2 linked regions of the Drosophila melanogaster genome follow. The protein of the gene in region 2 interacts with the protein of the main gene of each other region in a pairwise test. Each region holds a gene or a part of one and is shown on either strand. Other genes may lie near its edges.

Region 1 (5,155 bases), on a different chromosome or scaffold from region 2:
CCACTCATGGCGAACTCAAACACACAATACGGAATTTGTTCGAATTAATTAAAGACCATTAAATAATTTGTCAAAGAATGAGTTACGTTTCTGGTGACCGAATCGTTTAAAGAAAAACCCAAATAAACGAATCAAATCACATAAACGCCCTCGTTAAAAATAATTAAAAATGTTATGGCAAATTGTCATCACCCTGTCAACCGCGCCCCCTCCTTTCAAACCACTGTCATGTCACACAATTGGTCTACATTTGAGTGAAAAAGTACAAAAAATGCGACGCAGAGTGGCTGAAAAACCAAATCATTTTAGTGAAACGACAGCGTCACAGATTCAGATCCCCTCCACCATTTATTTTCCATATAGACCACGTTTTTTGTGTGTCATTTTGATTTAATTACAAACAATTTGACAACTAATTGCTGCAAATTTTAACGTTAAAACGCGTATCTCATTACGTTATGTGGTAATTTTGCAATTGGATATTATAACCATTTTGGGTTTCGTAGAAAACGGTGTGCTCAATATCCAAAATTGCCCTGATTAGGTAAAGCGACCAGGGGGCGTAATGACAGGGGGGTTGTGGGCTGGGGAATGGCTTTTATTGAATCATGGAATCATATGGAATCATGCCAAACCGGATTCGTAAACAAAACAACAATTTTCGGTCGTTTTTGTTCGACGAGATTGCCTTTTTATTTTTCTGTTTGGTTTGCGAAACGAGTTTTTGAAGCATTTAAAATATATCTCTTTTTTTCTTTGGCTTTTTGAGTTCGGTGCATACAAAATATCTATTGATTCGTGTCTGATACATATGTACATATATACACATATTTCAGTGTTGCATAATGACTAGGTGCATTGAATTGGGAGAGACAATTGTAAATAAACAGGTAGCGTATTATTATTTCATTTTTATTATGCAATTAAGTTTAATAGTTATGCGTTCAAATTAGAGCAAAGTTCTTCAGCATTAAGCAACACATATAGCAACTTTTTGGAAAGCGCTTAAATTTAAATGGAATATTTTGATTTTTCCAAATTTAGATTTATGTCAATAAAATTGTAAAAACAAGAACCATTGTTTATGTATTTTATTTTATGCATTATTAAAATGTGTGTTTTAACAAACATCTTTAAGAAGTTCGAAATTTATTAAAAGTCCCCAAATCATGGCCTTATACACTTTCTTCCTTAATATAATTGGTATAAAATAACAGGGTATAATATATAATAAACCCAACCCATATTAAATCCATTCCTTTACTCACCTCCTGTTAAAGCACTTAGACCCGCCGATGTCACCGGCGGTGGTTTGGAGAGGATGGTATCGATGCCGTGCGGATTGGGTGCACCCTGGCTGTTGGTGTTCGTAGTCGTGGTGGAGGACGACGATGAGCTGCCACCGGATCCGCGATCACTGATCAAATGCGAATTCGGGCTGTGGCTATAGGACAAGCCATTTGCCGACGCCGACGATCCACCGACTCCTTGACCCTTCATTTCCGTGGTCATCGAGTGAAGAGCGGCCAGCGGGGGACCGAGAAAACTCAGTGGGAGCTTGTGGTCCATGTGGTTATTGTTGTTGTGACATCCGGGGTTTCCGGCATGGTTGGCATTGTGCAAAGCCAGTGGGTTCACTCCATGATGGTGCTGGAACTTTGCCCTCTGGCTGCTGAGATTCTCGGGACTGTAGTCGTTCTGGCCCTGCGGCGGTGGACTGGCGGATTCGCTGGTCTGGCATGGATCCTCCGCTCCGCTGCTCCTCTGGCTCAAGGCATACGACTTGGCACTGTCCACACCGGGACTGGAATTGTGTTCGTATCGCGGAGATGGCGAGGAGTCAGAATGGAGTCTAGAAGAGGCGGGTGGCGGTGTCGTCGATGGCGAGTCCGAATCCTTGAGACCTCCGCCATGTGCCGCCTTTAGCAACATTAGCGGACTGCTGTTGTTGTTGTTACTGCTATTATTGTTATTATTATTATTGTTGTTGGCATAAACGGCCGCTGCCGCCGCTGCACTGTGGTAATCGGCCAACTGTTGTTGATAGTCCGCCGCCGCCATCGCATGGGCATGGACATCCGCGAAGCCATTGCTCATGGCCGCCGCCAAATGATGACGTTGAGCCGCCGACGGGGGACTTCCCTGGGCGGCGGCCGCAAAACTATGATGGCGCATATACGGATTTATCAGATCCATCTCGGGCGCTTCGTGGCCGTAGTCCAGGCACTCCGGGTGCTGCTGCGGTGGTGCTCGGTAAAATGCCGGCGGAAGGGCCAAGTTAAAGGCGGAATTGGCGGACAGCTGGAAGCTCTGGGCCAGCTGCTTGGCCGCCACCTTGGCGTCTGGCGGTGGAGGCGTGGGCGAGGGATTGCTGCTGCCACCCGCCGGCGTAATGCTCAGGAATGGACTACCCAGCTTGGGATCGGTCTACGGATAGGTATTCACGCGGAGAAGATCGAATCTTAACGATTTAGGCTTTTCAGTTTGGTTATAAATAGTATTTAAGCAATAGCAGCTTTTTGTTCAAATATTTTTGATTAATTACTTCTATGTAATTAAGACCAAAAAAATTATTTAAGGGGATATCCTGCTTTATGCTTATAAAACTTATTGAGTTCCTTAATAATTTTTTGGAAATTTTGTTTAACTACGTATTTTGCTTGAATTGTTTTCAATTATAATGTCAGCACTTCAGTTTCCGATGTACGCAGTATTTATATTTATATAGGGTTTTTAATATTTTCCGATCACGATACGATTAAAACACGTAAATCTATATATTCAAGATCAAATGATCAAATGATCTTGAATCCTTTTTAGCACAAGCACGAAACCGATTTTGTCAAACGGTTGAGCACGAAAACGTTTATTGTTCAAATCGTTCTTAGATTTTAAGAAACTACACTTGGCATAATCGATTTGAACGAGATCAGGCTATATGGGTAACTCCGTGGCCGGAAAATATCGTAGTGAATGAAGACCCGCGCGTGTCCGCTTGTTTAGGCCTACGACTAACGAATGATTTCGAAATTGACTCGACTGGCCCTCAGTCGCACAATCTCAGTTTCAATTTCAGTTTCGGTTTTTGGTTGGGGGTACGGCTTTCAACCCTCCGCATTCCGATTCCACTTCCACTCGCAGCATCATCTCTAGAGCGCGCGAGGGAGAGAGTCGTATATGGTTGTCTTGCTCCCCCATATCGATGTGTCTCTTTCTCGCCCACAAGAGTGTTCCACAATCAGTGTAAACATGAAATGCAGACTGGAACGCAGTGGCATTGGCACAAAACGAATGGGAATTTTATTATGTACATCATTAAAATCAACTATTTCGGATTCGGATTGGAGCCTGGGACTGAAACGGGAACTTATCCTGGCACTCTTGGTGTGCTTTGTCTCGCTTGCACCACCATCTGTCCTTTTCTGGCCAACTGTTTCCTTGAGGCTGAGTGCATTTTCATGGCTTTTTCCCTGGGTCGCTGGATTGTGGGTGGCCTTTTTGTCGACTGCGAATTCCGTTTATTTGTTTAAAAAGCTATAAATATTGAGACGAAGCTGGCAGCTTTTTTCGTTGGACTTATTCATTTAAATAATTAAAAATTGCGCTGGCGATAAATGAGAGCTATAAATGTAAACGAGAAACTATAGGTTAAAGTAGAAGTATTTCAACACTTTTTTTAAATGTTTGTTTGTAATTAATTTAATACAAAATTCTGTACTTAAGTAATATAACATAAATATGTGAAATGTTATTAATTCGCGAACTGTAAAGAATATGCCTATATAGTTTTATTTTTTAATTACTCTATATTTTAAGGATTTTTTTTAACCATATACCAAAGACACCTTTTTCTAGATTATCTTATAAATTATTTTCAGAAATGTGAGTCCCAGCACAGCATACCAACATATATATGTATGTATCACGTTTTGTACCGCTCACACTTTCATCACCGAACTGAATTAATACGCTAATTAACATTTTAATATTATTATGTGCCCGTCGGTGGGCCGGAGGATTGTTAACCCACCGACGGCCAACGAATTATATTTATGTTTATCTATATAAAAATACCGCTGTTGCTGGTGTTACACACACACACACATACTCTGACAGGCAGACGGGTGGTCCACATACAAATACAAAAATGCGCTTCATTTAATAATAAACTACACACAATTTTAATTTACTCAGACAAAACGGTGAGATCTCATAGGAATGAAATGGGATGTGGAATAGAGGGCAAGGCCACGCCCACTAAAATGAGAAAGGGAGAGAGAACTTGGACCGCCATTGTGAATGAATGTGAGTGAAAGTATGAAGGAGCGAATTCACTCAACCGTTGAGTGAGTATCTCTATCTTTTGCTGGTCATTTCCACCACAGCTTGTTGATTTTCGACTGTGTTCTTTATTTAATTGACTTTGCCGACCCATAAAAATGAAGACCTTAAATACTCCTGGAAGCCTTACCCATCCATTCGTCTCTCCTTTCGTAGTTCGTCTAAGCAGCCCTCATCTTTTGCTTTGATCTGAAACAATTCCCCATAAATTTATGCGTGGCAGAAAACATGTCATAGAATTTTCTTTCATCGTAGTTAACAGATCTTTAACGAAAAATATTGAAAAATTTACACTTTAAATTTTAAGGTTGCCTGTAAGCATTCAGCTTTAATATAAAAACTATTGAATTTGTTTAAAAACGAAAAAGTTAATTGTAAGATTTATATTATCAATATAAGTCGTTTGTCACTACATTTTTTTTAAGACAACTTTAAATACAAGAAAAACATAATAATACATACCCTTAAGAAAAAAAATAATATTTTATAAATTCATAACTAAATCCATCAAGTCTTTTTTACAGTATATTTACAGTGTTCATAAATTTCGGCCCCACAAAAAATCTAACAAGACACTAAAAACTTGGTTAAAGATAACAAAACTACACAAGCCCTAACTGTGATTGATTTATTGTTTTATTGTGCTAAAAAAGAGAAAATGAAAGAACTGAGATGGAAGCTGAGGAGCAAATTTAAAATTTACAATACCGATAAGCAGAGAATTGAAAACACTATTAAATGCCTACAGTTGGTCTCAAACTCGGTTCACATCTTTTGAGCAAGGCTGCGCTGGGTAATTAATAAATAATTTGTG
Region 2 (4,377 bases):
CGATTTGTTCCCGTATGCGGTCACTTCGATCTTCCGGCTGTGCCTTCACTCGGCAGGAATCGATGCCAAACTAATGTGGGGGGATTATATCAATGTCAGAAGACAATTTTGCGAAACCAATTCCAATGAGTATACCTCGGCGGGAGACTGCTCCGAAATAGCTTTGAAATTATCGAGATCCACCGAAGCGTCCGGCTTTGCCATTTGGCCACATTCTTGAAGCATCCGCTGAGTGAAAGCATTTTCCGGCAGATTTGTACGTTTACCAGGCCATATGATAATAGATTTTCCGCACAAACATGCCAATTTGGGACGTTGGGAGAGCATATAAAGAAAAGATCTCATCGCACTTTTTGGAGTCACTTTTAGGAGTCCGGACAAAAAAGTTCGCCGCTGATAGGAATATATGTCAACTGTCACTGGACGATCCAGTGCTGCACACCGACGTCAGATTTAATAACTTATTTCCACTGTCACATTAACTACCCAACACTCAAAAAGATTTGAAACGAATTTAATATAGCTTCTGAAAAGTTGTTTTATTTCCATTCAGATATTTCGAAATTATTATAGAATCCATTTCCATTTCGAAGTTGCAAACAAACTTTTCTCTTGTCAACCTACATTTATTAGAAAACAAATGGTTCTTATCAATTTAGTTCGAAAGTTCACAAGTGTCTCTTCCCCCCTTGAATGTGTGTCTGAAAATATTTGCTGTTCTGTTTCCATTAAGAGATATTTGGTAATTAAAAAAAAATATATATATTAATTTCTCTAATATAGCAATCTCTGTTAATAATTCTCGAAACAGAAACATGATCGACATACTTTCAAGCACTAATTACTTTTTACAAGGTATTTTATTTAAATTACAAAAGGATGTTAATCATTTAAATTAAATCTGAGACTGCAACGCATTGCGCACACATTTCCCCCAGAGCTTCGTGTGCCGCCTTCCTTTGCTACTTCCATCCTGGTTTTCCGCTCGGGATTACACGACGCGCTTGACCTCGAAGAAGCGTTTCAGGTAGTACACCTGGCCCACTGTCATCAGGACCAGGACGAGGGCTTCGAAGGTGGACCACAGCACCACTCGCGAGTTGGTGTTCTCGTTCACCGAACGATGGATCTTGTCGCGCACCTGAGGGAGTAAAGAAATTGGAGGATTAGTCGTGGATTACTTCACAAATAATGTCAATACTGATTATAACCGATGGTGAAAACATGAGTGTTTGAAAATCGCTACTAGTTATTGTTTATGTGGCAGCTAGCAGCTCCATTCCCTCGAACAAGTCTACCGACTCCGCTCTTAAATCTTGCGACGTGGATCTGTACAAGTAATGCTGGAGGCATGCCAGACTATGTGGCAATAGTTACTCGATTGCTCCCATATTCCATGTACCCCTAATTCTGCTACATGTTAAACTCTTCCAAAACCCCCAATCATGATTATGTGGCAGCTGGATGCTCCATCTTCACCTCGTCTCTTCACTCACATGCATGTACTCCTGTTCGTGCTTGACACTGGTCAGCGTGCCGGAGAGCTCCCGAATCATGTCCTCCAGCTTGGTGTGGCCCACCTCCTCCTCGCCGGGTGCTCCGGGCGCACGTTGCGGTGCGTCACCCACGTCGATGGAGAACATGACCAGCTTGGGGGTCATGCTGCTGCGTTCGTTGTTGAAGCACACGGTGTAGGTTCCCTTGGCGGGGGCCACAAAGGTGTACTTGCCGGACGACTCCTTTTCGCTCTCGTGCATCACATGGTTATCCGGGCCGCTGATCTTGATGTCCACGTCTAGGAAGCCACCGTCGATCACCTCGAAGGTGACGCCTGTAAAGTCACCATCATTTTATCAGCATAGATCCCTTGTCAATTGACCGAAAATCCATATCGCTCACGTACCAAACTTGGTGCCGCCTTCGACGTTCTCGAAGAAGCACTCCTCATTGTGGGCGTCCACGCTGACGATGAAGGCGTGGCTGGTGCGGCACAGGATCAGCAGGCTGCCCACAAGGAGCAGCACCTTGGCGAGTGTCGATTCCATCGTTTGTCTTAGTACTTTTGGCCTGGTTTTAATCGCTATTAAACGCACTGCAGCCACGTAGTTGTAGTCGATTCGATATACTCCGATAGATGTAGACAAATAGGGCATATCGAAGAACAGCAGTTTCCGATAGATTCGGCATCGATAGGTGCACGCGACACGCGATACCGAATTTTTAACGGATCACTACAAAAAACTCACAACTCATAAAAATTCAAAAGCAACATGAATGCCGCGAAATGTTTCGGTTAAAGTATTGGATATCGTAACTAATACATTACTTTATTTATGTGCGTACCTATATGAAAAACTCTTGGTGCATTCCATCACAGTTAGTTAAAGTGTTCTAGTATTTTTGTGCTATGTGTTAATCGGCGACTATCGACAGTTGCCCACCATTAGGAAACAGAAAGCTAAAAAAAAAAATGCAAAAATTGGCCAGAATTTCGGCATAAATAATAGTATCCCTTGCAAAACTTGCAAGCTGCGTGGCAGGACGAGCAGCTGACCACCAGATCGTCTTGAGGATTCAACATCAGGAACAAAGGTTTCACATTGGACGCATTTGCAAAAACCGAAAGGGAAAACTGCCAACTCCCACACACAAAAAAAAAGGAAAAAAAAAATCATCAGCACGGAAAGTAAAAGGTCAAGTGGTCAACCGAAATCTGGGTAATCCGGGGGAATCTTTGCAAGAATGCAGCAGAACTCGGCCAGCAATCCCTTCGCCATGTCCACATATGTGGAGCGGCCCCAAATGGGACTGGACGTCGAATTCGGAGCGGATCCTGCCAGCGGAGCAGCTTTCTTCCAATCCGATGGACGCAAGCATGATGATCTCAAGCAAATGTTGGACAGCAACAAGGATGGACTAAAGCTGGAGGCCATGAAGCGCATCATTGGCATGATTGCCCGCGGACGGGATGCCAGTGATCTGTTCCCGGCAGTCGTCAAGAATGTGGTGTCCAAGAATATCGAGGTCAAGAAGTTGGTCTACGTCTATTTGGTGCGATACGCCGAGGAGCAGCAGGACTTGGCCCTGCTATCCATTTCCACATTTCAGAGGGCGCTCAAGGATCCCAATCAACTTATTCGCGCCTCGGCTCTGCGAGTGTTATCCTCCATAAGGGTCAGCATGATTGTGCCAATCGTAATGCTGGCCATTCGGGATAGCGCCGCCGATTTGAGTCCATATGTGCGGAAAACAGCGGCACATGCCATCCCCAAGTTGTATTCTCTGGACGCGGATCAAAAGGATGAACTGGTCATGGTCATTGAGAAGCTTTTATCGGATCGCACTACTCTAGTGGTGGGATCAGCGGTGATGGCCTTCGACGAGGTGGGTCTGCAGCTAAAGTAAAACATTTATCCTCTATATACGACGGATCTTTATTCGTAGGTTTGTCCGGAACGTGTAGATTTGATACACAAGAACTACCGCAAGCTGTGCAATTTCCTGCTGGATGTGGACGAATGGGGTCAGGTGATCATCATTAATATGTTGACCCGCTATGCGCGCACTCAGTTCGTTGATCCCAATGCGGATGATGAGGATCTGGTCAACGATGGCCTGGGCGAAACGCCCGTTAGTGAACGCTTCTACGACGAATCCTCGCACTCCTCTTCCCACAGCGATGATGGCAGTAGCGATGACGAAAAAAACAAGTCGAGTACGAACAATAAAAACAATGGCGGAGGAAATGGCAGTAGAACACCCAGTTCTCCGAGCAACAGCTACCACATCGATGTGGATCACCGCCTGCTGTTGAGGCAAACGAAACCATTGCTCCAATCGCGAAATGCCTCCGTGGTGATGGCAGTGGCGCAGCTCTATCATCATGTGGCTCCCAAGAACGAAGTGCAATTGATTGCCAAGGCGCTGATACGACTGCTGCGATCGCATAAGGAGGTTCAGAGCGTGGTCCTCAATTGCATTGCCTCGATGTCCACCAAACGAAAGGCGATCTTTGAGCCGCACCTCAAGTCGTTCTTTGTGCGCACCAGCGATCCCACGCACATAAAGCTTCTCAAGCTGGATATTCTCACCAATCTGGCCTCGGCGGGCAGTATTTCGCTCATTCTGCGCGAATTTCAAACCTACATCTCCAGCAGCGATCGTTCGTTTGTGGCGGCCACGATTCAGGCCATTGGACGATGTGCATCTAGCATTAAGGAGGTTACCGAGACCTGCTTGAGTGGCCTGGTTCATCTGCTGTCCAATCATGACGGTGCGTTAAGCTTTCTTTTAGCCATTTGTATTTTAATTTTATAAGTATTCCGTTATTCCATTTAGAACACGTGGTGGCCGAGAGCGTGGTGGTGATTAAGCGTC

What was found.
Region 1: the proteins of CHOp24 (region 2) and HGTX interact in a two-hybrid assay, tested with the Drosophila melanogaster proteins (one large-scale study listed by BioGRID).

What each region holds. Positions count from the first base shown.
Region 1 is NT_037436.4:14,596,518-14,601,672, forward strand, and holds the start of HGTX (HGTX), read right to left. Parts: upstream 3,024-5,155; 5' UTR 2,419-3,023; coding exon of another isoform or gene 2,197-2,418; coding exon 1,269-2,196; intron 1-1,268.
Region 2 is NC_004354.4:4,538,671-4,543,047, reverse strand, and holds CHOp24 (CHOp24), read right to left. Parts: upstream 2,141-4,377; 5' UTR 2,046-2,140; coding exon 1,904-2,045; intron 1,832-1,903; coding exon 1,497-1,831; intron 1,142-1,496; coding exon 992-1,141; 3' UTR 542-991; downstream 1-541. Other genes in the region: CG3568 (uncharacterized protein), read right to left, coding at 1-70, 136-345; rb (ruby), read left to right, coding at 2,743-3,384, 3,445-4,273, 4,339-4,377.